Linked DNA regions of Cricetulus griseus. The protein of the gene in region 6 interacts with the protein of the main gene of each other region in a pairwise test. Links are inferred from orthologs where the notes say so. Each region holds a gene or a part of one and is shown on either strand. Other genes may lie near its edges. The genes, in order: Ndrg4, Snx15, Gad2, Shmt2, Acsf2, Arl6ip1 and Snx11.

Region 1 (4,300 bases), about 89 Mb from region 6:
CCACAACTGAGAGGAAGGTGTCAGGGTTATCCTAAGGAAGGCAAACAAAGGGGGACAAGTTAGCCAGATCCCAGGGCTCTGCCAAAGCAGACTGGTCTTCCGACTCCCAGTCATGTTCATGCTAATGGTAGTGGCTCATGAGCTTATCCTGGGTGTCAGGGTATGAACAGCACAAGGGTTTCTATCTTGTTAGGGTATCATGGAGACTGAGGGCTGCTCCACAGGCAGAACGCACTGGGATCTCTGCTTGAATGCTGGCTTTGGATCACTGCACACAAGGGCAGAGGATGACAGAGGAGCAAAGAGCCACCATGGTTGTCACCCACAGGGCAGGGGAGGTAGCTGAGGCCTGTTCAGTAGTGCTGCCCACTTGACTCTCTCAGACTTCTTGGGTCTATGTGAAACTGGAAGTGGCATCTTCCACTCTCTGGACTCCAGATGCCATGATGGAGAGACCCTATCTGGCCATGTAAAGCCTGGACTAGAGTAGGCTCCCAAACACAGGCTAATCTGGACAAATAATCTGATGTCATAAATGAGGGGCGCATGGCTCAGAAGACACTCAAAATTGGGCATAGTAGCACATGCCAGTAGTCCAGTGCTCAGGAGGTTGGGAGTCCAAGGCCAGACTCAGCTATGCAGTGAGACCTACTGACTCTTCCAAGGCCTAGGGGAACTACAGGGGTCAAGGGAGAGAAGGTGGTCACTTCTGGATCCCTTAGGAAGGGGGCTTTTGGCAGAAAGGGGTAGGGCTGGTCACTGAAGGAGCATTTCACCAAAGCACCTTCAGTGAGAGGGCTGCAAAGCAAATGTGGGAAGGAGGGAGGAGACAGTTCTGTTAAAAAACAAAAATCTGATGGCAAGGATGATGCAGATAATGGTAGGGTGTGCTATGTGCTCTCGGGACGTTGGGGCTCAGGGGGTGGGTCTGTGGGAGGGAGGGAGGGATGGGGTGGGGCCCACAAACCAAGGGAGAGCAGAAAAATGAGCCAACACGAATCCCTGGGAACCACAGGAGGTGGCCGAGGGAGGTCACAGCAAAGGGCAGAAGAGGATCTGGATGAATGGAAGGAAGCCTGAGAGGTGGAGAGAAGGGGCAGCAGTGTCCCACAGAACCCAGGACTCCCCAGACCCTACAGTCCTCAGGGAAAGCAAGTCTAACATGGCTTACAGAGGTGGGAAGGAATATAGTTGTCCCCTGCCTCTGCACTGCTTCCAGAACCTTCTGTAGGTACCAAAATCCACTTCTCTATGATGGCATTTTAGCTGCCCAGATTCTGCTCTCACACAATTCAAATCAGCTCCAGATGGCCTATAACACACCTTCTAGAAGATAAGCATGTGTCATGGAAATAGTTGCTATACTCTGCTGTTAAAGGAATAAGGACAAGAAAAAAGTGTGTACTATGGCTACTTCTACCTGGCTAACTGAAGCCCTGGATGTGGACACCATGGATATGGAGGGCCTGCTGTATTTTGTATCCTCTCTGGATACAAAAGTGTGTACCTGGCAAACTACAGCCATTCAGAAAGTAAAGAGGTCAGGCAGGCACTGTGCTCGGGATGCTAAGGGAACTTGCCAGCATCACAGCTGAGAAAGGGCAGCTCCTGAAGGCAAAGGTGCAGCTAGTTGATACCTCAAGGACTTTGCTGGGAGTCACGAGGAGACTACAAGTGGGCATTTTTCCTAATAACCCTTTGGAAAAACCAGAGGTGATGGGGTACCCAGCAAGAGCCTCTTGCTGACTCAAGGATCCCAAACACCAGCGTGGCAAACAATGGCCCTGGTGGCCACTGGCTTGAAAATGAGAGAATGGTTACAATAGGAGGAGGAGGTAGGCTTCCAGGAGCAGGAGGAAAGGACAGCAAGATGCTGCAGGAGGCTGGAGAGACCTCTGGAGAGACAGAACCATGCTGCAGGTTAGGGTCTGATGACAGCGCATGCTGGGAGTGACGGCAGAGTGTGGAGGAGTGCCAGTAACAGCCTAGTGGTCAGCAAAGGCTTCCTGGGAACACTTGAGCAGAAGCCAGAATAAAATAGGGAGGCTGCCCTGGGAGTGCTTGGGCTAATGTCTTCTTCCAGCAGAGGAAGCATCTGGAAATATGGCAGATACACTCAAGGTTCAAGGAGGCTGGGAAGGAGGGGAGCAGGGGAAAGAGGAGACAATACCCCGACCTCAGGCATGACCACAGCTGCAGTGAGATGGCAGCCACTGGGAAGTTTAAGTAAAGGACTATCGTGTGCATTTTTAAAGGGTGGTATTGCACAAGGAGAGAAATGGGAACACGGGGAGGAGGCTCCTGCAGGCTACTTAGCAGGAGGATCTGCTGTGGTCCAGGAGCAGTGGGGCCTGGGATGAAGAGTTTGCCAAATTTGCAGCTCAATGACGGTCCCACAAACTACCCTCAACTAATCCAGGAGTGGGTGCTTCGCTTGGGATTATGTGTTGAATGACCAATCACACCTTGTTCAGGGGCAGGGCTGTGGCCTCATGTGGTTGGATTCCCTGGTGCCCTGGCTAAGCCACCTATCGCAGTCCCTGCTGCTCCTTCTGGCAGGAGGCTGGGAAGGCGGAAATAAAACGCAGAGCTGAATGTGGAAAGCAAGGTGGGCGGGGTGCATACCCAGCCATGCTGGATGGCCACTCAGGCTGATCCTGCAACTTTCTCAAGAAATGAACCATCAGTTCTGGGTGGCTCTGAGTTCATAGGGAGGTTCTCCCCATCACCACAGGCAAGATTGCGGGAAAATACGCAATTTCCCTCTTCACCACAAGGTGGCACACGGCCCCAGGACCTGGAAGGGGCGACTCACCAGCTCGGTCACATCCTGGCCCCGGAGGAGGGGCTTCTCCTCAGGGAATCGCAGCTCCTGCAGCCCGGCCATGGTCATGTCATGGAGCAGAAGCCCTAGGAGGAAGGGAATATGCGGTTGGTGCTTGTTCTGAAGTTGCCCTGTGAGGATATCACCGGCCAGGGCTACTGGCCCCAGGTGACCACAACTGATCTCTCTCCAAGACCTGCTTATGCCAAGGAATATTACATTGTAATTGCTCTTTTCAAATAAAATCACATTTAGCATAATAAAGCAACAAGAGGATCCCTGTAAGTGGCCAGAAGTACCCAGCAGAGGTTTTAGAAAACTGAAGCCGCGAGGATGGGAAGTGACAGCTCTCTTTCCTGAGACTCAAACAGGGTCAGGACAGAAAAATGTATGTGATCTCTGCCTATGGCTACCAGAAGGTCCGTGCCTTGATTTCTGGGTGATTCAGGCAGAGGCAGAAACTTTTTTTTTTTTTTTAAAGATTTGTTTATTATGTTTTGTTTTGTTTTGTTTTTTTTTTTTGGTTTTTTTCAAGACAGGGTTTCTCTGTGGCTTTGGAGGCTGTCCTGGAACTAGCTCTTGTAGACCAGGCTAGTCTCGAACTCACAGAGATCCACCTGACTCTGCCTTCCAAGTTCTGGGATTAAAGGCGTGCACCACCAACGCCCGGTTGATTTGTTTATTATGTATACAGTGTTCTGCCTGCATGTACACCTACACACCAGAAGAGGGCACAGGATCTCATTATAGATGGTTGTGAGCCACCATGTGGTTTCTGGGAACTGAACTCAGGACCTCTGGAAGAGCAACCAGTGCTCTTAACCTTTAAGCCATCTCTCCAGCCCCAACGCAGAAACTTTTGAGCCTTGGAGGAAGAAAGGGTCACACACATACAGTGTGTACACATTTGCTGTGTGTGCTTGTGTAGGGGTGCAGCAACAAACATTGGACAGACAACCCAGGATGAGGTGTTTGCAGGAGAGGCAGTACCATCTCTCATTTGGGTATAATGGCAGAGGCCAGAATATACCTAGGAGAGAAATGAGGCAAGGATTTGCACTAGACTTCCATTAACACACAGAGAAATATTCAAAGAAATTCAGATTAAAATAAGATACTCAGCCAGCATGGTGGCACATGACTTTAATCCTAGCACTTGGGAGGCAGAGGCAGGTGGATTTCTGTGAGTTTGAGGCAGCCTGGTTTGCACAGCAAGTTGCAGGCCAACCAGGACTTTATACTAAGACCCTGTCTCAAACAAATAACTAATATGATACTCATTTTTTTCATTGTGACCACGAAACAGGCAAGGCATGCAGTTTTAGCTAAGAGGCACAGAAAGCAGAACTTTCTAGATTCTGGTGGTGCTGGGGATGGAATCCAGAGCCCCACACATTAAGGAGCATGCTACCCCTGAGCTACATGCCCAGCCCCAGACTAGCACTTTCTTAATTTATATGCCACAAAACATTGACA
Region 2 (3,633 bases), about 29 Mb from region 6:
GGCCCAGTTTGGCTGGCCCGCCCCCGCTCACCCGGGTTTCCCAGACACCGCAATGCCGGAAGACGTTGGCTCCCACGGGCTTCGGAAACGCCTCTCATCCTCCACCGCGCCTGGCCTCGGCTTTTCCCCTTTAAGCCGTCCCATGATGCACCGGCTTGTAGTCCAGCGATGAGGCCACACCTCCCCAGGTCTTCCGGGATTTAGTGGATTTTAGCTTTTTGTACTTGGGGCTGTCGAAATAGGTAACCCTGCCTTGCCTATCTCTCCATTATCTCTTTACACACTAAACTAGTGCGGTGGGCCTGTCATTCTTTGTCTCCCTCGAGATAGCCTCCCTAAGCGTTTTGTTTTGAGACAGGGTCTCACTATGTAGCTCTATCTGGCTGGCCTTGAACTCAATAGAGATCTTCCTGCCCCTGCTTTCTGAGTGCTGGGGTTAAAGGTGTGGTCCCCACACTCATTTGCTAGACACAGCTTATTCAACTCAGTTGGTACAATGTAAACTCAACCATAGACAGTAATAATCATGCGGACCTGGTTGTGTTCGGACTCGTTTTTATTCACACATATTTCAATTTTATAAATTTTTCACTGGTCAAAGAATCATTTTCCTTCCAACCATTAACAAAAAGAAAAAAGAAAAACCCTTGTAGCTTGAGGGTCTTACAAAAAAGGGCAGTGGGCTAGGTCTGGCCACAGACTGCAGGCTGCAGACCCTTGTTCTAGATGGGTGAATAGACATAAAACAGACAGGCAGGACCAGAAGTTCAAGTCTGATTCCAAAGAGGCAGGCAGGTTGGAGCTGAGAAGTCTTTGCTTTTCTCATACTTGGTCCAGTTAAAACAGATATGGCCCCTGGGGTTCCAAGAGCAGGAAACAAGGCCAGGTCCCAAGGAAAGACTGAGTGGAGGAGGCTGGCAGTGCTGGAGCTGATGTCCCAGGAAGGGTCCACTCCTCAAGGCAATTGCCCATGGAGGGTCTCTGCCCGCCTCAGGTACTCAGCTGCCTTCTTTTTCACACCTTCCCGTCGGGCAGGGGATGGGTCACCTGTAGAGAGCAGAAGGCCTCCAGAGTCCCTGGCCTGAATGTGCCTTTCCCTGGGTCATAATGTCTTTTCCCCATTTTATGAGGCTATTAAAAAATTAAAGAAAATTCCACCCAAGGTCTCTGGCTGACCTGTGACAAATGAAGGCTCCTGGTCCTTCTTTTTTTCTTTAAAATATTTCGTGTATGTGTGAAATTGAACATATAAAGGTCAGTGGTCAACCTCAGATGTAGGTCTCCTCTTTCCATCATGTCTGAGACCCGGTCTCTTTGTTGTTGTCTGCTGCATATGCCAGACTCACCAGCCCTGGATGGAGTTTCTGGGGATTCTCATCTTCCCACAGGAACACTTGGCTTCCTGAGTGTGCTGTTGCATGCTACTTTGTGTAGGTTTGGGGAATTCTTTTTTGTTTTGTTTTTTTTCTAGACAGGGTTTCTCTGTAGCTTTGGAGGCTGTCCTGGAACTAGTTCTTGTAGACCAGGCTGGCCTCGAACTCACAGAGATCTGCCTGCCTCTGCCTCCCAAGTGCTGGGACTAAAGGCGTGTGCCACCAACGCCCGGCTGGGTTCTGGGCATTCTAATTCAGTTCCTCATGCTTGCATGGCAAGGCACTACACACAGTCATCTCCCCAACCCCTCTGCTTTTCACTGCCCTGTCTTCCTTACTGCTATACTCACCCGAGACTCCCTGAAGCAGGATGTGCACCCCATCTCGGTAGCCTTGGAGGGCAGCAGCATAAGCCCCTGCCTTTTCATTCCGAAGGGCTTGAGTGATGAGCTCTGTGGCCTGGCTCAGGTAAGCTGGGGCAGGTTCTCCATCCTCAGACTCTTCCTTCTCCTGTCCTCCTGGCTCCCAAGGTTCCTGGTCCAGTCTTTTGGACTGTACCTCCATGGCTGCCAGCTCACCAGTGTGGGTGGGGCTGGGACCTGTACTTTCTGTAATAAAACGGGGAGGATTCAGGCCAGAGTAGCCTTCTTTCCCATGGTATGCTGTCTACCCCAGGCTTATTTTGTTTATCAGAACACCAAATTGTCCCCACTGGAGGGGAACAGAGCCTGGAAAATCCCAAATTCACTTGAGATTCACAAAATCTGTTGTGATCTGCTTGCTTCCTTTGGCTCAGGAGCTTTCTGTAAAGGGTTAGTTTATTGTTGTTGCATATATGAGTGAGTAAGGCACAAGTGTGCTGCCGTGGTACCCATGTAGAGGCCAGAGGACAAGTCTTGGGAGTTTTTTTTTTTCAACCTAGGTGAGTTTGGGGGATGGAACTCATGTTGCCAGGCTCACAAGGCGTGCTTCCACCTTCTGAGCCATCTTACTGGTCTTTGTGCCTCTGCCTCTCTAGTGCTGGGATATAGCCATGTGACACTTTACCTTTTTTGTTGTATTAAAGGCAGGGTCTCACTCTGTAGGCCTGGTTATTCTGTAATTTGCTGTGTAGACTAGGCTGATCTTGAATTCACAGATCTGCCTGCCTCTGACTCCCTGAGTGCTGGGATCAAAGGTATATGCCACCATATCCAGCTTTCCGATTAAAACAAAAAGTAGTGTGTGTGTGTGTGTGTGTGTGTGTGTGTGTGTGTGTGTGAAAGGCAACTTGCCAGAATCTGTTCTGTCCTTCTATCATGAGTCCAAGGCATTAGGCTTATTGGCTAGTACCTTTATCCACAGAGCCATCTTGAAGGCCCTTATTTTTGTTTGAAATAAAACTGGGTGGTGGTGGCACACTCCTTTGATCCCAGCACTCAACAAGCAGAGCAAGCTGGATTTCTTTCTTTTTTTTTTTTTTTTTTTTTTTTTTTTGGTTTTTCGAGACAGGGTTTCTCTGTGGCTTTGGAGGCTGTCCTGGAACTAGCTCTTGTAGACCAGGCTGGTCTCGAACTCACAGAGATCCACCTGCCTCTGCCTCCCAAGTGCTGGGATTAAAGGAGTGTGCCACCAACGCCCAGCTTGCAAGCTGGATTTCTATGAGTTTGAAGCCAGACTGGTTGACAGACAATTCAAGGACACCCAGGGCTACACAGAGAAACCCTGTAAAGCGGCACTAGAAATTGAACCCAGGCTTCCATGCACGCCAACCAAGCATTCTTATCAACTAAGCCATGTCCCTAGTGCAGTTAGCCACTCTAACACCCTAGTTGTAGTCAGTGAATTTTAGAATAAACTAAGCTTTAGTGTCTCTTTGCTAGGGATTTGCAAGTAGGAGTTAAGTACTCTGACCTGTATTGGGAACCGGCCTGACTCTGATGGCCCCCCAGGTCACCATGGGAGTTCTCATACCTATTGTTCTTCGATCCCGGACCTCACCCCCTTTGACTGGGGCAAGATTCCATTTTCTGTCTGTTTAGTTTTGTTTTTGAGATTATGTAGCCCTTACTGACCTGGACTGTTATGTAGACCATGCCAGCTTCAAATTCAGAGATCCTCCTGCCTTTGCTTCTGCCTCGGATTCTGCCACCAGGGCCACAGCAGGTTCATGAACAACAGAACACTATGATGCTGCGCTACCCTGAGTCTGCTCAGAGAGGAGGGCTCAACTCCTCCACAGCTGCTCAATGCTGCTCATGGCCATGGAGGCTGCCAGCCT
Region 3 (3,763 bases), about 130 Mb from region 6:
CCTCATTTTGACATCCTCACGAAGGATGAATGCTTGAATTAGTAATAGCCACTTCTGTTATCCAGATATTTGTCCCCTACCAGTGAACCCTTGGGAAAGGCCCATGAGCCACCATTAAGTTTGGTAAATGTTCTCTTCCCTCATGCATGAAAGTATGTGAAAAGTGCTCACTGTAGACTGAAAACTGTGTGCCCTTAAATTTCTATGTTGTCATCCTACTCCCCATTGAGGATGGGGCTCTTGGGAGGCTCTGCCTTATTAGTTTGTGCCTTTGTATGAGTCCCCAGAAAGATGTTTTTCTTTCTTTCTGCCAGAGGATGGTACAGTGCAGACTGTCAATGATGCAGAAGTGGGGCCTCAGCAGACACAGATTCTGCTGACTTCTTGATCTCAGGGTTCCCAGTCACCAGAACTGTGGACAATCAATTCTTGTTGTCCATAAGCCACCTAACCTACACAAGTTCATTATATTGCAAACCCCTACATCTCAGTACTTTATCTCAGCAATTGACTTTCGTGTGGGTTCTTGGCTTTGTCTTGTCCAGAATTTAACTTTGCTCCTTCTCCAACATGCAGGTGCACACATGGGAATATGCACTCACATGTCCATTTGCAGACACACGTGAACATGTACAACACACACTGACAAACTAAAAACCACATCTGAATTTCATTCTGCTGAGGAATGTGGTGCTGGATTGCTAAAGGGCAGATGTTAATATCCAAAAATTTTCCTGAGGATTTTTCATCTACAGGAATCCATTCTTCCCTTTACATAGAGGGAATGGATTGTTCTAGAAGGTTAGTAAGGTATGGTGAGATTCTTAGCAGTGGGGAGTACATGCCTGCCTAACCTGGCTCTGCCTCCATCCTCCTCTAGTCACTGAAAAAAAATGCCTAGGGCATCTAACTTTCTGAAGTTCAAGCATATAAATCACCCTAGTTTCCCATTTCTACAGCACCTTGATGCCTTGATGGCATATACCAAAAACACACTTCACCCATGTGTAGATATTGGGAGCAGGTAGAGATTAAAGGTAAAAAAAAAAAAAAAAAAGTATTTCCTGACCAAAGGAGACCTCAAAGCAACTTAGGCTCTGGAGTCAGACTTACTGTGTAATTTGGGGAAAATTACATTTTCTCTCTGTCAATCAGTACTTGGCCACATCAACTCACACATTCTGTTATGAGACTTTAAGTGACCTAAAACATGATAAATGTTGAGCCTGGGGCACAATGCACACTGTAAGTGGTAGCTGTTAATATTATTGCTACTTCCCCTGGGTAGCCTTGACCTTGGTATCTAAAGAGTGCCTACAGCAGCCTTTTTTCCCCCTTCTATTTCTGATACATGAAATGTCTTTTGTCCTTGTAACTGTGAGTATCTGTTTCCTTTCAAAAACCAGAAACCTTTGAGGACAGTTCTTGGTGCTTTCTAAATGTCGGTGGAGATTATCAACCAATCAGTAATTTTAAGACATCATAAACTCTTTCTCTCTAGAACCAAGCAAATGGAATTGTGAAAAGTCAGGAAATACAGACTTTGCACATCTTGGCTCTGTGGGAGCCACAGAGGGTATCGGTCTAGGCATCAGCCTGGTATTCCCCAGTAAGAGTTTCTTATTACAAAGAAGGTCCATAGAAAAAAGGAACTGTCAGCATCTACCTTTGAGAGGCGGCTCATTCTCTCTTCATTGTCTTCCAGAACACGCAAACTGGGAGGCACGAACCAGAAGCACACATTTGTGTGCTGAGGCTACAAGGAAGAAAGTAGGATTCAGACCTGGTTCAAAATTCCAAGGATGATTTGGATGTACTTATTCTTCAGGTTCAGAAGATAATTGCTGTATTTAAATGAGTAATTGCCTTTGGGGTGTCTCACTTTCACATTCTATAGATTTGCTTGTGAGTCTGATCTTTATTCTAGCTCAAAAGAGCCATCACACCATCAATTGCTTGCCTTAGTAATGGTTCCTAGCTAGACAGCACATTACTGACATCAGAAAACACCAGGGGTGAAGAGTGGAACTGAAGATACGGGGATTCAACAATGGTGATTGTTGGAATGTGAGTACATACCTTCCCATCAAACACCATTTCATAGCCTTCTCGGTTTTTGATGATATTGTACAAATACTCTGCCAGCTCCAAACACTTATCAATATGTGCTTCAAAGCCAATAGTCCCCTACGAAAGAGAAGAAGGAAAAGCATTAGGAAGGCCTGGTGTGTGGGTAGCTATCAGCTGGAAATAAGGAATGACATGAGTCCCCTGGAGACTGCCCAGGGTCACCCTGCCCTTTCGAGCTCTGCCAGGCTGAGATGAGACTACTCCTGGAGGCTTCTCTGCTGAAGGCTCCTGTTTAACGCCCCACCCCCCAGGTGCATTTGTTCCTTTTCATTACTAGGGCCCACAGCTGACTCCTTTTGTTCCCAGGGCTTAATTCCCCAGGCAATTATTTTGATTACTCAAGGGGAAAATTTGCCTCCGCAGCTCATAGATGCAATCATGGAAGTCATTAATAACAGAAGGGCTGGGCTAGTCTTTTCCTGTAGACAAGACCCCCCAAATGCCTGCCTGGCCCCCACTCTTGTTGTAAATTATCCATCCCCAAACTCCCTAAATGGCTCAGTAAGAACAAACAGGCACTCACTGAATGTCAGTTGATCAAACAAATGAGTCTTGGGAAGCCTGTCATTCTGCCTAGCTTTTTGGTGTTGTCCTTTGTGATGAAGTATGACTCATATGTCAGCTGGGTGAATATGCCATTGAAGTCTTCTGCTTCACAGTTCTGGAAGCCTTGGGTCTGGACTTATGAAACACAGTACAACAGCCTTGGGCTGGAGCTATTTAACCAATGTCTAGGCACACTAAGCAACTAATTTCTAAAATGCCTTTCCTCCTTTAGTACCTGTATTTGACAAGTGCAAAGGGAAATCTCAGCAAAGCATTTAATGCTGTTGGTACTGGTACAGGCATACCACCTAACCCAGCATGGGAACCAGAGGAAGCAACTCTAACTATAATGGAGATAAGATGGGTATGTTTTCCCTTTTATTCAGGGCCTTATCATCCCCCAAAGGGAAGAAACAACACAGCCCATGTAAAGCATGTTTCAGGTCCTAATTCCTGGGGGTAGTGGAAGAAATATCAGATGTGGATCAAACAGCAAGAGTAGGACAACCCCTGACAGGAAGGTGAAGAAGCCAGCTTTTCCCAGCTTTAAAATGAAAGACCTCAGAGAGAGGTGAAAAAGGGAAGGTCACCGGCTACATTACTTAAGAGCTTTTTTTTTTTCTATTTGTTATGCAAAGCTTCAAATGTCTGGATATCCAAATGGAAAATTTTCCATTTGGCTTCCAACTTCAAGCTTCAAATTTTTTCAAGATGAAATGATAAGAGTTATCAAAATAATAAGTGCAGTCCCTCAACCTAGACCAGAAGTGAGGATAATTATCCCATCTGAAGCTCCCTAGCCATGCCTGTCACGGCGTCAACCTTTCCCTGCAAGAACAACCGTAGCAAATGTGGCTGTGATGATTACATGGTTGTGAGACAAGATCCTACTCTGAAGACAGGCTGATCCCCAGCTCACAGCAATCCTTCTGCTTACTGAGCAGAGGGAGTGATCTTTCTTTCATGTAAATTGAGAGTCCAGTCAAAATTAAACTAAGTGAATCACAAAGCAAAGCCAAGAAATCCCTCAGAAGATTTGAAGGTGGGACTTGGACTTGGGTTTTGGAGGGATAAGAAAGGGTGGAGG
Region 4 (4,443 bases), on a different chromosome or scaffold from region 6:
TGTGAGACTCTAGATTCTGTCTGTCTCACTAAGAGGAAAACAAAACAAAACCAAGCTCACAGTGGTGATTGTGAGTCCTTCCTTTCATGGTCCTCTTTCTGTCACTCACAAACATTCCTCCTCCAAGGCTCTGTCCTCCCACACTCTGTACATGTGAGAACAAAGTGAGGTGTTGGAAGTTGTCACTGTTTACCTCTTCCCATCAATCGGTGAGCCCTGTCTCTCCGGGGCTGAGGCATGCCTCGCATGGCTCAGTGTCTATAAAATGGCAGTGTAGGGCAGTGAGTCCCCAAGAACTGTTTGGCTGTGCATCTTTGATTACTGTCTTTAAGAGCCATTGAACTAGAGGTTTTTTTTTTTTTTTAAGATTTATTTATTGTGTGTACAGTGTTTGGCACCAAATCTCATTACAGATAGTTGTGAACCACCATGTGGTTGCTGGGAATTGAACTCAGGACCTTTGGAACAGCAAGCAGTGCTCTTAACCACTGAGCCATCTCTCCAGCCGGAACTAAGTAACTAAGATGTCCCCAACTCACGTAGACTCTTCCCCTGAAGAGTATGACAAGAGGAGGAATGGCTCACGCTGCTCTCAGCTGATGGTGGACCATGGCTGTGAAGGGTTGTGAGTTAGGAGGACAATCCACAGGGGAGCTTGTTCTGAAAAATTGCATTTAATCCTCACCATAAACTCTTTTATTATGTTTGGGGGGGCGGGGTTGACAGGCTCACATGTGGTTCACTGGCCTCCAGCTTCATGTGTAGCTAGTTGAGGCTAGCCTTGAACTCCTAATCATCCTGCCTCCACTTCCCCTTTGTGCTGGAATGACAAGCATGGGCCATCACGACTATTTTACCACGGTGAAACCGAGGACCAGCGAGGCTATTTTGCTGTAATCCTAAAGCAGGGATTTGGGTCTTTTACCTTTCAAAGTGTATTGGCTTCCACTGTGTCAAAGTTCTTTACCGTGTGTGTGTGTGTGTGTGTGTGTGTGTGTGTGTGTGTGTGTGTGTGTGTGTGTACCTCCCTTATAGTGCTGGCTACTTGGTAGGCTCAAACCAAACAAACAAACAAAAAACCCGAACAAGGGCCGGGCGTTGGTGGCGCACGCCTTTAATCCCAGCACTCAGGAGGCAGAGGCAGGTGGATCTCTGTGAGTTCGAGCCAGCCTGGTCTCCAGAGCGAGTGCCAGGATAGGCTGCAAAGCTACACAGAGAAACCCTGTCTAGAAGAACACAGAGAAACCCTGTCTAGAAGAACAAACAAACAAAAAATAACAACCCTGAGGTTCAAGACCTTTTCAGGCAACCTGACGGTACAGATGAGGCGTAAGGATGAAGAAAAACTACATTTCCCAGAAGGCCATTTTCTAGAGACGGCAATGCGCCTGCGCCGGCCCCTCCCCTTTAGCTCCGGCTTCGTGGGGGTATTTTTCTCGCGCCTGCGCCCTGAGACCAGTCGGCTTCCGACCCCTCTGTTACTACTCCGGACCAGAGTTGGTGACTGGTCCTGCTGTGACCTCTGGTAGCGATGGTACCCTTCTCTTTGCTTTGGACCACTCGGGTAAGGACAGCGGTATGGATGTTGGATGGCCAATGGAAAGGCCCACCCCACTTTAGTTCCTTTTCACAAAGTGGGGTTCCCCTGGCTCCTTCACCGCACGTGTTCCGGGGCCTCGGGGAGCGGATGCTTAAGCAGGAAATCCCTGAGCCTCCTGGGTGCACGTGCGGTGCCTGGGCCCAGTCCTGGTTCCTAGTCCTGGCGATCGATGATCGCCCCTTTCCCATGCTTCAGGTAAAGTTCCGCAGACCCTGTGTTAGCAATGTCCCAGCGAACAAGTGGGGTTCCCGGCTCCGATGTGCTAGTTTTAATTTTTCCCGCCAGCTCTGAGCTGTGGAGATGATGCAACCGGGCCTCCGTGCTTTCATCAGGCAGGGGTCCCGCTGCAGCGTGGGCGGAAGGAAGTAGGGAGGTGCTCAGTGTGTGTGTGTGTGAGAGAGAGATAAAATTTAAGATTTTGGCTTCTCTCTGGACAAACACCTTCCCTCTACCCCCACTCCCGCCAGTACACAACTCTTCCCAAGAACTGCTTAAAAGTCTATTCTACTTTGGTTGCTTTGGAAACTACCCTACAGCCTGTGGCATTAAGCCCTGTTAATTTACTGTCTTCTCTCTGAAGTAGTCTCTTATGGAGGCCCTGCTCGAGGTCCCCCCCCTTTATGTTCATGAACATTTTGCCTGCCTGTATGTATGTGCATCTCATGCGTGTCCAGGTACCCACAGAGTTCAGAAGAGGGCATCATTTTCCCCTGGAAGAGTTACAGATGGTTGTGAGCTGCCATATGGGTGCTGGGAGCTGAACCTCTGTCCTTTGTCCTGTACAAGAGCAACAAGTGTCCTTAACCACTGAACCATCTCTCCAGGCTCAGGAAGGCCCTTCTGGGTAGACCCTGGAATCTAGTCTCTCTAGTGAATTTGGGGGACATGGGTTTGGGGGGGCACAAGCTTTGTTGTGTGACCTTGCAGGGTAACTCACATGGTGAGCTGGAGATCTGGATGGGGGGTTGAGTAGAGCTGATCAAAACTGCCCTTTGGATACTGATCTGAACCTTGACTCTAGAACTTGCTTTTCAAGGTGAAGGTGGGGGTGGTGAGAACTGAATTGGCTAGCTGGACCAGGCTGCCTGCTTAGCCAGAGGGCTGTCTGTACCCATAGTGAAGGGTGATTGGGAGAGGTCTGGACAATTTTTAATCAAATCCTGGCTCTTCTGCTCTAAGCCTCTGCAGAGATGTGGTCAGCTGGTCTGGATGGCTGCTCGGGCTCAGCACAGTAAGGTGGCCCGGACACAGGCTGGGGAAGCAGCTGGAGGCTGGACAGGCCAGGAGACTTTGGCAGATAGTGACCCTGAGATGTGGGAGCTACTGCAGAGAGAGAAGGACAGGCAGTGTCGTGGCCTGGAGCTCATCGCCTCAGAGGTAGGGAATGAGGATATGGGCCAAGAAGTAAAATACCAGGAAATAACACATCATCTTACTGACATTTCTCCTGGGCCTTCTCCCTCTTTGTACTATCCCCTGAAACATTAAGCAGGGCCAATCCAGTGTATGGGGCTGGGGCGTTAGGGAGCTTCTGGAGCCCCTACAGTTTCATCTCTTCCTTACCTCCTCTTGTCAGAAGAAAGAGGAAACATGGGTTGAGTGGACAGGTGGCTTTCCTGGGGCCACCCATCATGGCTGTTGAGTTTTTGAGAATGCTGCTTCTGGTCCTGCCTCATGCCTGGCAAAGAACCCAGAGTGTACAGAGCTTTTTATGCATCCTGTCTCCACCCCATCCAGCCTGTGGGCTCTGGCAGGGATGGGACTGTGGGAGTCCAGGGCAAGGGGCTCATTGTCTTCTGACATTAACCCCCACCACTCCAGAACTTCTGCAGCCGAGCTGCGCTGGAGGCCCTGGGGTCCTGTCTGAACAACAAGTACTCGGAAGGTTACCCTGGCAAGAGGTGAGGGCTAGATCAAAGGGCTGGAGGGCAGCATCAGGGATGGCGCTCCTAGTGGTGGAACCCGCTTAAACCCCATTGATTCTTATGGAGCAGTGGCTTTCCCAGCCCTTGGCTTTTTCTCTGTGCCCTTATGTACCCTCTCCATGGTAGATATTATGGAGGAGCAGAAGTTGTGGATGAAATCGAGTTGCTCTGCCAGCGCCGGGCCTTGGAAGCCTTTGACCTGGACCCTGCACAATGGGGAGTCAATGTGCAGCCATACTCTGGGTCTCCAGCCAATCTGGCTGCTTACACAGCTCTTCTTCAGCCCCATGATCGAATCATGGGGTTGGACCTACCTGATGGGGGCCAGTGAGTATGAATAAATGATGGGTTTGATGGGCAGTAATGACATGGGCCAAGTGTTATTTTTTTTTTTAAGTAAAACCTTTTTATTTAAACTAGAAACAAGATTGTTTTACATGTCAGTCCCAGTTCCCTCCCCAACCCCCCAACCCCCATAACATTCCCTTTCTGCTCTCCAAGGAGGGTGAGGCCTTCCATGGGGGGGAATCTTCAAAGTCTGTTATATCATTTGGAGCAGGGTAGACCCTTTCCCGTGTGTCTAGGCTGAGACAGCATCTCTCTTTGGGAGTGGGCTCCCAAAGTCCATTCGTGTGCTAGGGATAAATACTGATCCACTACCAGAGGCCCCATAGATTTCCCAGGCCTCCTCACTGACATCCACATTCATGGGGTCTGGATCAGTCCCGTGCTGGTTTCCCAGCTAATGGGGTCCATGAGCTCCCCCTTGCTCAGGTCAGCTGTTTCTGTGGGTCTCTCCATCCTAGTCTTAACTCCTTTGCTCATCACTCCTCCCTTGAGCCAAGAGTTATTAATACCTATCAGGTCCTGGTCCTGTGAAGATGGACCGCGCCTGTCCCGTGTTGCAGCCCAGGAGGC
Region 5 (4,517 bases), on a different chromosome or scaffold from region 6:
GGCTTCCCCCTTGAGGCCACTGTTCAAAGCCCCAGCTGTCGAGTGAGGGATGGGGGCTGGTTCAATACTCTTGCCCTTTGCTGGGATTGCAAAGATCCGTATCAAGTCTAACTCTTAGCTATCTACCAGCTGGAAGGAAAGGCTGAAAGCAATCTCAAAGCTTCTGCCTCTCTGCCCACAACCAGCCAGCAGGTAAGAATTCATTAGCAACAAACTAACCACACTCAGAAATAAGGTAATATGTTCCTGGGTCATCAGCTTTATGTAGAGGAGCCAGGTTTGTATCTCAAGACAAGCTTGCTTCAAATTCTTGTTCTTTCCCGTTCAGCAAAACCAGAAACCAGAGCTGGGCATGACGATACATGCCTGTAATTTCACAGCTCCGAGGCTGAGACAGGAAGATTGATGGCTTCAAGTTGCAGGTCAACCTGGGTTACACACGAAGACCCTGCCTCCAAAACAGCAGAGAGAGCAGAGGACAACAGTTTCCCACACCATTATGCAGGGAACACCATCAAGCTATTCCTCCCCTGATACCTTTCGTCCTCACACAAGTCCGGGTCTTAGTTCCATGGCCTAGGTGCTCGGCACAGTGAGGGCATGCCCTCAGAGATGTGTGCTGTGTATTTGAGACGCCCGAAGGGAGGCTTCTGCAGAGGAGAGCAGGGACAATCCAGACAAAAGCGCCCACGGACAGCAAGGAAGGATGCAAACAAGAGAGGAAGGGGAAGAAGGTGGGCCAGATGACCAGGGAATCTTTTTTTCTCTGGATAAATAGGTCTTTTCTAGACAGTTTCTCTGAGGCCTGACACTGAAACCCTCAGAGGTCACAGGCCTGAGGCAAGTAAGTAACCTGCTATGTTTACACAAGCAAAGGTCAAAGATCAGGAATGTTGGGGCTGGGTTCAGTCAGTAAAGTGACTGCTGTGCAGGCATAGGGAACTGAGTTAGGATCCCCAGCACTCACACTAAAGCTGTGTACAGTGACTCAGCCATCTGTAACCTCTCAGTGCCTGGGAGAGGGGGACAGAGAGGGAAAGAGCCCTCGAAGTCATTGGCAACCCAGCCTAGCCAAATCAGTGAGCTCCAGGCTCAGTCAAAGACCCTAGTTCAAAACAGTAAGGTAGAGATAGCTCAAGGAGAACACCCAACATTGGGTAGCTGCCTTCACCTGCACTTAAAACACAGGTGCAGGGATACATAGGTATGCACACACGCACACACACATATATCCACATGAACCACACACACAAATCAAAGCACTGTTGTGTAACACTGGGTCTGATTTAGTATCAACAACTGTATGTATTTTGGGGAGTAACTTTTCTCTTCAGAGTCCTCACAGCTTGTAGGGATACTCAAGAGTTCAAAGGTGAGACAGGCCAACTAGGGATAGGGCAGGGTCAAGTTAGCCTAGGGAGGTGTGAGAGCCTCCCTTAAAAAGTGCCCCCCCATTCCCCCAGTGAGCCCCATTTCACTACCCAGCCATGATCCCCTAGGTCCACTCAGGAAATGAGGCAGAGGGTGTTAAAGTTCTTTATAAGGGCTAAGCATGTAGCTCAGTGGTAGAGTGCCTATTCAGCATAACACACACACACACACACACACACACACACACACACACACACACACTGCTTGCTTCCTAGTTTTCAGAAGGCCATAATCTGACTGAGAGTTCTGGACAAAAAGGCATCTTCCAACTTATCTGTCCAACTTCTCAGGAAGTAGAGTCAAGGTTTCTTTGTGTAGCCCTGGCTGTCGTGGAACTCGCTCTGTTAGACCAGGCTAGCCTAGAACTCAGAGATCCTCCTGCCTCTGCCTTATAGATACGCGCTACCTAGTTTGCAGAGACATAGCTGTGTCTCCACTTGTCCTGTCCAAGACCACAGCCAGAGTGGTACAAACAAACAAGGCTTAGTAGCTCAGCAGACTGTGTGGCAGAGCATATTCAACTATGTGCAGGCCTTCCCCCTACTGGATGCTGAAGATACCACCAACCTTGTTGCACGGGCAGGGGCAGCTCTACCAACCTTGGCTTTTCTCAAGGCTGTCTCCTGCAGTCCCTTCAGTGCCTGGCCACTTTAGCTTTATTCAACCAATCCTCTCCTGCCAACCCCCTTCCCACGAGGGCTGATGAAAACAGGCCCAGAAGTAAGTGGCAATGATTTTAAAACATAGGAAAGAAGCCAGGAGGCAGTGATGGTGCACGGCTTTATTCCCAGCATTTGGGAGACAGAGGCAGGCAGACCTCTGTGAGTTCGATGCCAGCCTGGTCTACAGAGTGAGTTCCAGGATAGCCAAGGCTACACAGAGAAACCCTGTCTAGAAAAAGAAAGAAAGAAAGAAAGAAAGAAAGAAAGAAAGAAAGAAAGAAAGAAAGAAAGAAAGAAAGAGAAAGGGACTGTTAAATACTCAGTGCCTGAGGACTCCCAACCCGTCCCAAGTTTTTCACTGAAGTGGGTACAGCTGAGAGAGTGTCCCAGCAGCACTCAGCCCTGTTCCCCGGGTGTACTGTTAAAAGCCTACCTTCTGTCTCTGTGTGCCACCCGGGACGCATACAGAATCCTGATCTAGAATTTGAACTCAGTCTAAGACTACTGCAGCTGCCTGCAGCAGCCCCAAACCCCAGCCAGGCCCGCTCTTCCCTTTGCCTAGGTGGTAAGGGTAGTCTGAGTGAGGGCCACCCAGAGTGGGGTCAGTCCCTGCCAAGCTCTGCAGAACTCCCGAGTTCCCTCCTCCTCGGGACTGCCCAGCCCCCTCTCTTTTCGGGGAGCTGCTCGGGGTACCTGAGTGCGCGGGCACAGTGCAACTTCGAGTTCTGCCAAGGCCGAGAGAGTAGCGTCCGGGGCCCCTGCGCCCCCAGGCTCGCGATACACAACCTCCCAAGGCGCAGCATCCCGAGGTAGACAGCCATGGCTCGTTTCCGCCGCAGATCACGGCCGGGAGTAAACTTTGAAAGTGAACAAGGCGGGGGCTAAAGAAGAAGAAGCGGACTGGGAGGCGGGAGGGTCGCTCTGCCTATGGGGTGAGAAGGACTGGTCCCCGCGGGGCGGGGCGGGGCGAGGCGGGGCGAGGAGAGGCCGGGAAGTGGCGACTCTCGAGTCCTGGGCCACCTTCGCGTGGGAACTACAACCCTCTAAGCTCGCCCTCGAAGAATCGCCCCTATTTTTCTTTGTTTTTGTTTTCGGGGGATCCCAAGACTCTCTCTGCAGCACAATACAGGGCCATCCCCCGGCTAAGATTGGAGGGCCGAGGAGTTTCATAAACGGGAAAACAATCTGAAGTCTATAATGGGCCAGACAGCAAGTTCAGGGCTAGTTGGTTCCAGTGCCCAGTAGATCGTGGGTCACGTGGGAACTTCCCGGGTGGTGGTGAGCTACAGGCCAAAGGAACCCAGCCCGGAGCTCCCGTGAGGCCTGCGGGCTGGAACAGAAAGCCTCTGGGAAGAGAGGCTGTCCGGCCCCAACCGGTCTGATGGGTGAGCCCCTCTGTACTCTGGGACTGGGGTGGGGTGGGGGGGTACTAATGCGGCCCAACGCCAGGAATCAGCTATAATTCGACCCCGCATCTCTCGTGGCATCCTTCCTTCTCTATACCGAGTCACTCCGAGTAGAGTGCCCAGTAGACAAGATCTGGTGGCATCAGGGACTGAAGTCTCTTGTTTCCTATCCTATCCTCTTTTCTGCCCTAGCTGAGGCTTGAAACATATTCCTCAGCTGCTCCCCTAGGCTCCAAAGGACTTTGTGAGAGACTCAAAACCCTGTGCTTCTGGGATATAATCTTTTTTTTTTTTTTTTTAAGATTTTACTTATTTATTATGTATTCAACATTTTGCTTCCATGTATATCTGCACACCAGAAGAGGGCACCAGATCTCATTACAGATGGTTGTGAGCGACCATGTGGCTGCTGGGAATTGAACTCAGGTCCTCTGGAAGAGCATTCAATGCTCTTAACCTCTGAGCCATCTCTCCAGCCCTCTGGGATATATTCTAACAAGTAACCCAAGAAGGATGGGAGAGAAGACCTAGAAGAAATGACTGTTCATTTCTGGGTTTGGGCACTGGGTTAACCAAAGACTGGCACACAACCCCTACACCTTCTAGTCAGTACCATGTTGTCCTGAACGATCATTACTTCAAAGGAAGAAAAGAAAAGTCCTGGCAGGGTGGCTTCCCCTCTCCTGACTTGGAAATGAAGAAAATCAGGCCAGGAGGAGGGGTTGGCTGAGAGCAGAGGTTGGCCTAGTGAACCTTTGCCTTTATCTGGGAATCCTGGTTCAACTGTCATGAGTAATCCAGCTGCTCCTTCTCTTTGATCTCCAGAGTGACCTCAGATCTCCCTGGCAAATTTGGGGAAGAATCTGTGTTCCTATGGAGAACCAGTCAAGACAGAGACTTTGAAGAGTTGGGCTTGAGAGGGCATGCCCTCCAAATTATACACTTGCTTCCAGAGGCCAGGCCCAAGGAATGAGGCGTGCTAATATTCCAAGTTTTGGATCCAAGCCCTTCCTGGAAG
Region 6 (4,524 bases):
GATCGAGATAATAGATAATCCTGTTAAAAACAAAGAAAATTAACCAAAGTTAGAAAACCACTTGTCATTATTCCTGACCAAAGTTGTTTACTCCCTAGCCCACAGCTTCTCAAAGATGGTGCTGTTTCCTTTCTAATTTCCTCACAAGTGGTTTTCTATAGGTATCCTGGCATGATGTTGTCACAGCTATCGTGGTTAATTTAAACAGCAACAGTCAAAAACTCTAGGGACCTCAATCTTTATTAGAAAAGAATATAAAGAAAAGGTTTTATAACACAAAAGTTTGTGTGTGCAGGATTTACTCATGTGTATCAGGTTACAATTTTACATAAGGACTACAAATTCTAGAAACTGGGCAAGCTGCTTGTAATTGTAAGAAAGGCATTCCTTTTGGATTATGTATTACAAAAGCTTCTCTAAGCATAGGCTATGAACCATCTGAGCACTTAGCAATAGAATCCCTCACTTACAGGAACAGCAGGGATACAACACCCATGATGGCAGGTGGAAACCAGGCTCTTTCCCATCGAAGGACTTTGTCAGCCATCAGCATCACTTCTCCCCATCCTTGCAGCTGCTCTTCCAGACCTGCAGTCTCCACAGCCTACACGTGATCAACAGTTAAGAGTGTTGTTACTTTACCAATTTCAACACTCCAGTGGCTCAGAGAGTAAAAGCCTAAGGCATCAAAACTGTTATCTTAAACAAGCTGAGTCATGAAAAACTGCAATTTTGGCACCAAACATAAAAACGTATGAGTGGGTGGGAGAAAGCCCAACCTTCAGCACTGGGCCATATGTCCATGATGTAACATAATACTCCCAAAGTTTCACAATATGGAGATAAATATTTCATTATTAATGCAAGTAAGCTTAATATGGTTAACTAATATTCCCAAATTCATCCACAGAGTCATGAGGCAGTGCTCAGAACATTACTCAATTGGATACTCTATGTTTGCTCATTTCAGGTGGTTGGCATTGATCTGTTGATTGGTTTTTTTTATTGATTTAAGCCCTTCTAAATGCATCAGGAAAACAATCAGTACATACAATATCTAAAATAGCTCTTTGTATAATAGAATTGCTCAAGTGTTGGCAGTCTCTGTAGAATTAAAGAAAACTACTTGAACTAAATTATGTGAAGCACTTAAAGTCCTCCGTAATGGCTCTTCATCATTGATGATGTAATTTTGGCTAAATTTCAAATTTCTCTGCATATGTAACAACTAGGCAAAAGCACACCTTTAGGATAAGCTATTGTGATCGAAACCCTTCAGGGACTTTGGTAAAGGAAGGAAATTAGAACAAGAAGTTGCTCTGTCTGTAAGGGGCCCTGGATTCAACCCCCAGGAACAAGATAGGCACAATGTCAAGTGACACTAAGCTTTTCACAAAGGAACATGCAAATGATATGACACAGTCCAGACTAACTCTAATAAAGATGAAATCTGTGTCATAGTACTTCTGACTCTATATTACATGCTTAATTCTGATATCACTCCAAACTAGAAATTCTAGACAGTTTACATTCTATACTTCAACTGATGCTCCTCAAAACTGGAAAAGGTATTTTTACAGCCTCTATTTAAGATGAGGAAACTGAGGCAAAAAGAGGTTAATACATTTAAATCCAGTAAATATAAGATTAATGGCCTTGCTCTCCTCAAAATGATACTGCATTGATGGAAACAGTTAAGTTCAGGATCAGGTCCTCTCCCTTTCCTTTTACATCAATTAATCCTCTTCCTGAACTGTTTGCTGGTGTGTGAGTGTTGTGTAGGGCAAGTATCTCTATTGTATTGTTTGCTGGTGTGTGTGGCGGGTGTGTGGGGGTATGTGGGTATGAATAGGGGGAATTTAAGGGGTCAGGGAAAGCATTTCAAAACACCAATGCAAAGTGAAAACCTTGCACAATCCTGTAGTGACTATTGTCCTGTAGAGACTTAACTTGCTGGCATTTAGGCTCTTAAAAGTACAAAAGCAGAAGTTAAAAGCTGGTTGGTCTTTTCATTTCTGATATGGCCTGTCTTTCCCTGGGGAATGAGAACAGAGAAAATAAAAGTATCTCTCTTTCTTGCCTAGATGATACAGTTGAATTTGTAAAGCTAGCAGGGCCTGGTGATGCACAACTGTGACAGGAGAATGACAAATGCAGGGCTAACCTCCATACATAGGTCAGGGCAAGCTTGGCTACATGAAATCCTGGTCTCAAAACAAAACAAAACAAATCAAAACAAAAAAGACCTGTAACGAAGCAAATGTTTCCTCGTCTAATACCACCTCATGCAGTTTCTTCAAATCCGTGCTAATCATTTTAAAGTTGCCTCCAGTCCCGTGAGCCCCCTTGCCAGCTCCCAGACAAGTGCTAGGTCCTCCCACTGTCCTTTCCGCTGAACCCGCTTTTCAGCTTCCTGCGGTGAACTCTCAGCCAGCTACAACAAATTCTGTGTCAGCGATAACTAGTTCTCTGTAGCAGCCCTTTGACCCTCAACCCTAGCCCAAGTTGTTTTTGTTTTGGGGGCGGGGGGAACCACGCATACAATCTACCGAACATGAGATAAAAATCAAAGAGACGGAACAGGTAGGTCTCCGGCCTGAGCCCCGGGTGCTAAACAAGGCCCTAGGCGGCCGAGTGCCTTAACCTGCCACCCAGGTTCCTTCTTGCCAAGGGTCCCTTTCTCACACTTCCTCACGCACTGTCCTTGCCTCGTCGTGCGCGATCCCCGGAGAACATTGGGGATCGGCCGTAGGGACCGACACCGTGGAGATGTGCAGGGAGCAGCAGGATCAGGCCTGACAGCCCCTGGAGTCACCGAGGCCAGGAGGCCGAACCGAAAGTGTCTGGGACAAGTCAACACCGCGACTCACCAGCAGGTTGCTGCTGCGGTTATCCCCCTCCGCCATCGTTACGGACGCGCGTAGTCTCAACGAGCAGAACACACACCCCACCAACACCCGCACGCCGACCGTAGCGCGAGGGAACGCCCCGCAGGCTGCTTATGTAGGCTGGCTGCCCTTCCCGACAGCCCTCGCGAAGCTCGCTCCTCATTGGGTAGATAGCACTCCAGCTTCTGGGAAGCCAGGCCAACCGGCAGCCAGCGCATGACTTGAAATCCAGGTCAAAGGAGAGGGAAGCTGCGCGGAGCGGAAGGGCTCCGGCCAATCAGAGTACAGGGTTGTGGCCCTCTGGAGGCGGAGCGAAAGGGAGCGGTTCAACCGCCGTCCCTAGTCTCTGGCTGGGCTGCATCTCAAGACCCCTGGGGTGCCTGTCAGCCTGGCGGAGTGAAGGCTGCTCAGTGCCATGCCAACGGAGGATAGAAGGGCGGAGGATGCTTTAGACTTCTATGGCGCCTGCTAAGATTTATGACTGAGAGGATGGCGGGCCCCTGCGTGAGAGCTGCTGCAGCCATCTGCCCAGCAATAACAGGCCCTACGACAACACGGAAGATGCACTGACTCATACTCATATAGGGCTTCTTTTGCAGCCAGTCTTTTGGGGAATCGTTTGTGGTGCGCTTCACTTAATTGAGAAAACTATGCGCACTTCAGATGGAGGGATGGATAGGTGGATGAGTAATTCAAATGATGAAGTGTTCCAGATTGATACGGATTAACGGGTGTGGGGGGAAGCCATGCTAAATATTGACCTCAAATACATTTAAATTATTTTTAAAACATTTCGCTCGTTTAAAACATTTAAAACGTTCATACCAGGTTCTTTTAAAGTACTGGGAGATTTTTATGAAACTTTTAAGACCACACAGTGCTCCTAAATAAACCTGGCCCTACCTGGAGCATGATATGATGGCTCTATAAAGGTTTGTCACAGACCTGTGGAGAGTACTTGGATAAGGTACTAACACAACATAGTTTTGGCTAGGAAGCTCGGGTAAAGTGCTTCTTCGAGGAACAATGTGTGTGTGTGTGTAGGGGGGTGATATGATTGGGTTGATAGAGAAACCTTACTGGTGGATATTTAAAGACTAGAGAATTCCCTCCTTCACCTCAGTATTGAGGACAAAAGGACCTCAGCTGCTACACAGGCTGAGCAGCGAGGTGGCCCCATCTTGCTAGTAGCCAAGGAGCACCCACTTTCATAAGAGAGGCAGGAATACTAATAGGCTTTAAAATCCATCATTTCTACCTTGGGAACTTGGCTTTTGCTTCAGAAAGCTTTGGTGTAAAGTCCAGCTGCTGTGGCTGAGGTAGATAAAAGAAGTCCAACAGCAGTTTCTCTACAGCACTTCTGTTGTGGACTGTTCCCAGACCCAGGTATAAACTCCGCTCTAATCTTCCATATGATTTCTTGAAATGTACCCGATGAAGAAGCCCTTATCACAAATCTTCCTCAGAAACTTGGCACAGCAAATGAACTCTGCCAGATACTTCCTTCAGAGCTTTCACTCCCAATCATGGTCTGCCAGTTTTGTTTTCTTAATATTGCCAAAATGAAGCATCATACATTGCCTTTTGTTTTTCAAGAGGGTTTCTCTTTGTAGCCCCAGCCATCCTGGAATTTGCT
Region 7 (4,343 bases), on a different chromosome or scaffold from region 6:
CAAGGGGACCATGAAGGCTGCAGCACAGGGTTGCTGGATTCCAACGGGGCCCATGATGTCACCTTCTGTTAAAATACAGCACTAATCTTGTTACTCCTAGACCCACTCCAACAGCATCCACCCTGGCTGCCGCCGCCACCTCCTTCCTCTCTCTTAAGAGCAAAACAATAAGGTTTAATTTCCCTTTCCAATTTACCTTGAAATGAAAACTGACTTCAGCCAATATGTACTGCCAACAAATGATCCGGGCTGGCTCCTGGGAAAACAAGACTGTCTAAGCTCTCCCTCCCCTCCTCCCGTGCCCATTCACACACCCACTCATTTTTACAGTCCCACAATTAATTTTAAACACATTCTCTTATTAGTTCTGCCTTACCATTACAAGAGTGCATAATGAGCTTCCGTCTATTTTATGTTTTGCTAACACAGGGCTAATGTTTCAAAAGAGGGGGAACTCATTTACAGCATGAAATTAGCAGAGCAAACAGCTTTTGCAATTCTTTCCAATATCCCAGAAGGTCTCACTTCTACAGACAGACTTTGCATTCGGGGACAAAGCTACATGGCAGATGACAAAAGTGAGCTACATTGTGGAGCAAGCCCAAGGTTTTGTGATTTCTACACCCTAATAAACAGCATTCTTGCTGACAATCTGATTTTTCATCAGCTGCAGTCACCACCTCCAACAGGCCCTGAACTGAAATTCAGGAAACTCCAATTCCCCAATAACCTAGACTAACAGTCCAAACGGAATCAGACAAAGGCCTGTGACCAAAAATAGAAGACAGACGATGTGAATAATTAACCTCCTGGGGTTCCCCACCCCTTTTTCTTTATAGGCATTTGCTAATCTGCTAGCATAGGAACCGAGAGTTAAACATTCCCAAGTGTCTTTTTGTAGTACAGTAGGAAAGATGACAAGAAAAGAGTTGACACTTCTCTGCCTGGAAAGCTCTGTGAAATTCAAGACTCTAGCTCAATAACTAAACAGTCATCATAGCTTCGGTCTAAAGAAGAGTTTGAAAGGGGCCAGCAGCACCCCCAAGTGGAAGTTTTTTCCTTTATTGTGAAGCTAATATCACATAGAAACAATCATAAACTGTCTTTTAAAAATTCAAAGCCTCTAAGACTCCATGTGTTTATATGCTTAAACCTAAGTTTAAAGGGCACCGAGGAAGTTCTGGTTTATGATTCCTTAAAATACTGAAACTAGTATACTGAAAAATACTGAAAAAAAACCTAGACTCCGTTTCTTCTTTCTTTCTTTTTTATTTTTATTTATTTATTGACTTTTCAAGGCAGGGTATAGCGTGATTGAAATCGAGCTGTAGTCCGTGGGGTTAAGATACCTTTATTCAGATAAACACCAGGCAAACGCAAGCCAGAGTGTGCCCAGAGGCAGCAAGCTAGGGAGGCCAGAGAGAGAGAGACTCCCACGTCTCTGCGGCCCCTTTTTTTTTTTTTTTTTTTTTTAAGTGGGAAGTTTTATTAGAAAGTGAAGAGAAAAGAGGTAAAGAGACACAGATACAGAGAAGAGAAGAGGGAGACAGGAAAAGTCCTGTCTGCCCTAGGGGAGCAGCAGGAAGGAGCTCTGCGGCCCCTTTAAGAACTCCCCACGAGTCATCCAGAGGCGTAGTCAAGCACACCTGTACCTAGCTCCTAGGAGGCGGGACTACAGTGTCTCCCCTACAGCAGGGTTTCTCTGTTTAACAGCCCTGGCTGTCCTAGAACTCACTCTGTAGTAGACCAGGCTGGCTCCTAACTCCACCTCCACTGTCCAGTAAGTAAAATTTAGGCTCCATTTCTAACAACCACTATTCTCCATCCATTTCCTTCCCACTCCTTGGAAGAAAATGAAACTCAGTCCATTCCTGGAGAAGCATCAAGTTCTTAACTTTAGCTATACGACCCAGAGATAGGAAGGATAAAATCAAGTGACCTCCACGGGTTAGAAACTTACTCAGTGCTAACTACATTTCCAGGGCCTTTCCCATCACATCCGTAGTGCTGTTTGCTTCCCTCAGCAGTATCAGCACCAAAAGTCCTGAAGAAGAACCAGATCTTTTGCTGTATACAAAGCTGATGCACTGTAAAGCTCACAACTGCTAATTCAGGGGAGCAATTCAAGGCCTACCCCTCATTTTTTCTACCACTTAAACTATTTCAAGAGACACGTTAAAAACAAATCAGACTATAAAACGATTGCGCCGAGGAGCCTGCCGCCTTACTCATTCTTGAGCCTTTGGTGTCAACAACTTTTGCAACTCAAAAACCTCGCCTTCCTAAATGCCCACAGATGTTAGAGGAAGCTCTCGCGCCGGACAGACACACCAAGCAGTCCAGCAAGCAGCTGTCCCACCTTTCAGGAGATAAACCTTTTCATTTCACCTGGAAATAACAAAGGCGACCATAATTTCCAGTATCTGCGAAAAATATCTGCCATTTTCTCCCACTCCCGGCCAGTTGGATAGATACCCCCGAACCCTGACTCTGGTCATTCCCTTTCATTCTTATCAAACTAGATGGAAAATAGAAACAGGCGCCTTCTCCTTTTCCGGTTAAACTTGGGACGAAAGACATCTTCTATTCTCAAGGTAAACTGAAAAGCCAGGCTTCCTTTTTTGCTGGGTCCCCAGCAAGCCCTCACTTTCACACCGGGCGGCAGCATGTCAAACGAGGCCAACACTCAAATGCCACCACTGCTCCTCGAGCCGGGGTCCCCCCTCCACCCCAGCAGCACCTACGAGCCCGGCTCCGCCCACGCCCCCTCACCTGAGAGCAGCAGCAGCTCTCTACAGCGACACCCTCAGCACCGCACCAGACAGCCCGAATTCCGGCTTCTCCTTCCGGGTGAGTCGCCGGCGCCCCGGTGCACGACGGGAGGCGTTTCCCGACGGACCAATCCTGAGTGTCCAGGACGCCCCACCCCTGCAGGCCAGGGCTCTCAGTGGCGATCGCGGGTCAGCGGTCGCTCTCCGCCCCGCCCAGACTTGAGCAGCAATCCGGATCTTTCCGGAAATTGCTGGGGCGCTGGAGGTGGAGCGCGAGAGGACAGAAACCCCTCAACGTCCACTCCAGTGTCGAGTCCCGCCCACCTCTGTCAGGCGCGCCAATCAGCGCGCAGGGAGCGTCATTAAAGGTCTGCGAGAGCATCTTGGGATCCGAGGTATCCGTAGGGGTGTTACAGTTGTCAGAGGTGTGGGGAGGTTCCACGCGTTCCTGGAGCTTCACTAAGATCTCCAGAGAGTCCCTGTTTGAACCTTGGAGGTTGCAGTTCCTCAGCTGAACTGTCAAGGGCACTGCCGGTTAGATTTGGAAAAGACGCAGATTATCCCGGCAAAAACCAAGCGAGAAGGCTGACAACTCACAGTGACTCCCCGAGACAAGCCCAAAGCAGGATCGCGCAGGTAACAAGCAAGGAAAAGCTGGTGAAAATGCTAACTCTGGTGACATCAAGATTCCTCTTAAGGCAATAGAAGGGCTCACGCAAGGAATCCTAACACTAGGAAGATTAAAGCTACATTAGTGAGTTCCAAACCACCCAGGCTACAGAGTAAGGGTCAATCTCAAAACACAATAAAATAAATAAATAAACCAAAACCTTCGTCATCTGTTAAAAAGATAATTTTACACCTGTAATCCCAGAACTTGCAAGTAGAGGCAGGAATTGAAGGCCATTGCCAACTACATAATGAGTTTCAGCCTAGCCAGGGCTACCTAAGACCCTGTCTCAAAAACAACCAAACGGGAGCTGAAGAAATGGCTCAGAGTTTAAGAGTGTTTGTTCCCTCTTACAGAAGATGAATTCAGCACCCACATCCGGCAGCTATCAACTGTAATTCCAACTCCAGTGGATCCGAGGCATACATATACACACACACCAAAAATAAATGTTTCTTTTTATTTTGTGTATGAGTGTTTCACCTGTAAGTATGGAGGCCTACCTGGAACCCTCAGAGGTCAGATGAGGGTATCAGATTTCCTGGCGCTGGAGTTACAAATGGTTGGAGCCACTGTGGGGATCTGGGAACTGAACCATGGTCCTATGCAAGAGCAGAAATTGCTCTTAACCTCTGAGTCATTTCTCCAGTTCCAAATCTTTTTGTTTGTTTGTTTGTTTCTCTTTCATGCTCAATTGTTTTAGTATGTGAAGAAAATCTAGCCCAGCACAAGCATATCAATGGAAAAGGCCTTTTTTAGCCTTCTCTAAAAATAATGAATAGTCTTTTGCTATAACAAAACATCAAATAGTACTCTCCTTCCCATATCTGTCTCTCCTTTGATTTTAAGATAAATCTCTTTATCTAGCCTGGGAACTAACTATATAGACTAAGATTACCTCA

What was found.
Region 1: the proteins of Arl6ip1 (region 6) and Ndrg4 interact in binary tests that used the Homo sapiens proteins (3 or more experiments, as listed by UniProt). The two-hybrid records come from large-scale screens. The link is inferred for Cricetulus griseus from reciprocal best matches to the Homo sapiens genes ARL6IP1 and NDRG4.
Region 2: the proteins of Arl6ip1 (region 6) and Snx15 interact in binary tests that used the Homo sapiens proteins (3 or more experiments, as listed by UniProt). The two-hybrid records come from large-scale screens. The link is inferred for Cricetulus griseus from reciprocal best matches to the Homo sapiens genes ARL6IP1 and SNX15.
Region 3: the proteins of Arl6ip1 (region 6) and Gad2 interact in binary tests that used the Homo sapiens proteins (3 or more experiments, as listed by UniProt). The two-hybrid records come from large-scale screens. The link is inferred for Cricetulus griseus from reciprocal best matches to the Homo sapiens genes ARL6IP1 and GAD2.
Region 4: the proteins of Arl6ip1 (region 6) and Shmt2 interact in binary tests that used the Homo sapiens proteins (3 or more experiments, as listed by UniProt). The two-hybrid records come from large-scale screens. The link is inferred for Cricetulus griseus from reciprocal best matches to the Homo sapiens genes ARL6IP1 and SHMT2.
Region 5: the proteins of Arl6ip1 (region 6) and Acsf2 interact in binary tests that used the Homo sapiens proteins (3 or more experiments, as listed by UniProt). The two-hybrid records come from large-scale screens. The link is inferred for Cricetulus griseus from reciprocal best matches to the Homo sapiens genes ARL6IP1 and ACSF2.
Region 7: the proteins of Arl6ip1 (region 6) and Snx11 interact in binary tests that used the Homo sapiens proteins (3 or more experiments, as listed by UniProt). The two-hybrid records come from large-scale screens. The link is inferred for Cricetulus griseus from reciprocal best matches to the Homo sapiens genes ARL6IP1 and SNX11.

Annotation. Positions count from the first base shown.
Region 1 is NC_048596.1:171,882,313-171,886,612, reverse strand, and holds the start of Ndrg4 (protein NDRG4), read right to left. Parts: upstream 2,906-4,300; 5' UTR 2,894-2,905; coding exon 2,816-2,893; intron 32-2,815; coding exon 1-31. UniProt on the Homo sapiens protein: Contributes to the maintenance of intracerebral BDNF levels within the normal range, which is necessary for the preservation of spatial learning and the resistance to neuronal cell death caused by ischemic stress.
Region 2 is NC_048596.1:53,222,860-53,226,492, reverse strand, and holds the end of Snx15 (sorting nexin-15), read right to left. Parts: intron 1,982-3,633; coding exon 1,724-1,981; intron 1,048-1,723; coding exon 956-1,047; 3' UTR 539-955; downstream 1-538. Other genes in the region: Sac3d1 (SAC3 domain-containing protein 1), read right to left, coding at 1-98. UniProt on the Homo sapiens protein: May be involved in several stages of intracellular trafficking. Overexpression of SNX15 disrupts the normal trafficking of proteins from the plasma membrane to recycling endosomes or the TGN.
Region 3 is NC_048596.1:211,481,498-211,485,260, forward strand, and holds part of Gad2 (glutamate decarboxylase 2), read right to left. Parts: intron 2,188-3,763; coding exon 2,080-2,187; intron 1,757-2,079; coding exon 1,667-1,756; intron 1-1,666. UniProt on the Homo sapiens protein: Catalyzes the production of GABA.
Region 4 is NW_023276806.1:130,226,044-130,230,486, forward strand, and holds the start of Shmt2 (serine hydroxymethyltransferase, mitochondrial), read left to right. Parts: upstream 1-1,411; 5' UTR 1,412-1,531; coding exon 1,532-1,564; intron 1,565-2,779; coding exon 2,780-2,977; intron 2,978-3,421; coding exon 3,422-3,501; intron 3,502-3,651; coding exon 3,652-3,852; intron 3,853-4,443. UniProt on the Homo sapiens protein: Catalyzes the cleavage of serine to glycine accompanied with the production of 5,10-methylenetetrahydrofolate, an essential intermediate for purine biosynthesis.
Region 5 is NC_048600.1:107,506,076-107,510,592, forward strand, and holds the start of Acsf2 (medium-chain acyl-CoA ligase ACSF2, mitochondrial), read right to left. Parts: upstream 3,005-4,517; 5' UTR 2,915-3,004; coding exon 2,787-2,914; intron 1-2,786. UniProt on the Homo sapiens protein: Acyl-CoA synthases catalyze the initial reaction in fatty acid metabolism, by forming a thioester with CoA. Has some preference toward medium-chain substrates. Plays a role in adipocyte differentiation.
Region 6 is NC_048596.1:82,511,821-82,516,344, reverse strand, and holds the start of Arl6ip1 (ADP-ribosylation factor-like protein 6-interacting protein 1), read right to left. Parts: upstream 3,028-4,524; 5' UTR 2,907-3,027; coding exon 2,871-2,906; intron 605-2,870; coding exon 471-604; intron 21-470; coding exon 1-20. UniProt on the Homo sapiens protein: Positively regulates SLC1A1/EAAC1-mediated glutamate transport by increasing its affinity for glutamate in a PKC activity-dependent manner.
Region 7 is NC_048600.1:109,928,159-109,932,501, forward strand, and holds the start of Snx11 (sorting nexin-11), read right to left. Parts: upstream 2,890-4,343; 5' UTR 2,773-2,889; intron 2,035-2,772; exon of another isoform or gene 1,961-2,034; intron 257-1,960; 5' UTR 197-256; intron 1-196. UniProt on the Homo sapiens protein: Phosphoinositide-binding protein involved in protein sorting and membrane trafficking in endosomes. Regulates the levels of TRPV3 by promoting its trafficking from the cell membrane to lysosome for degradation.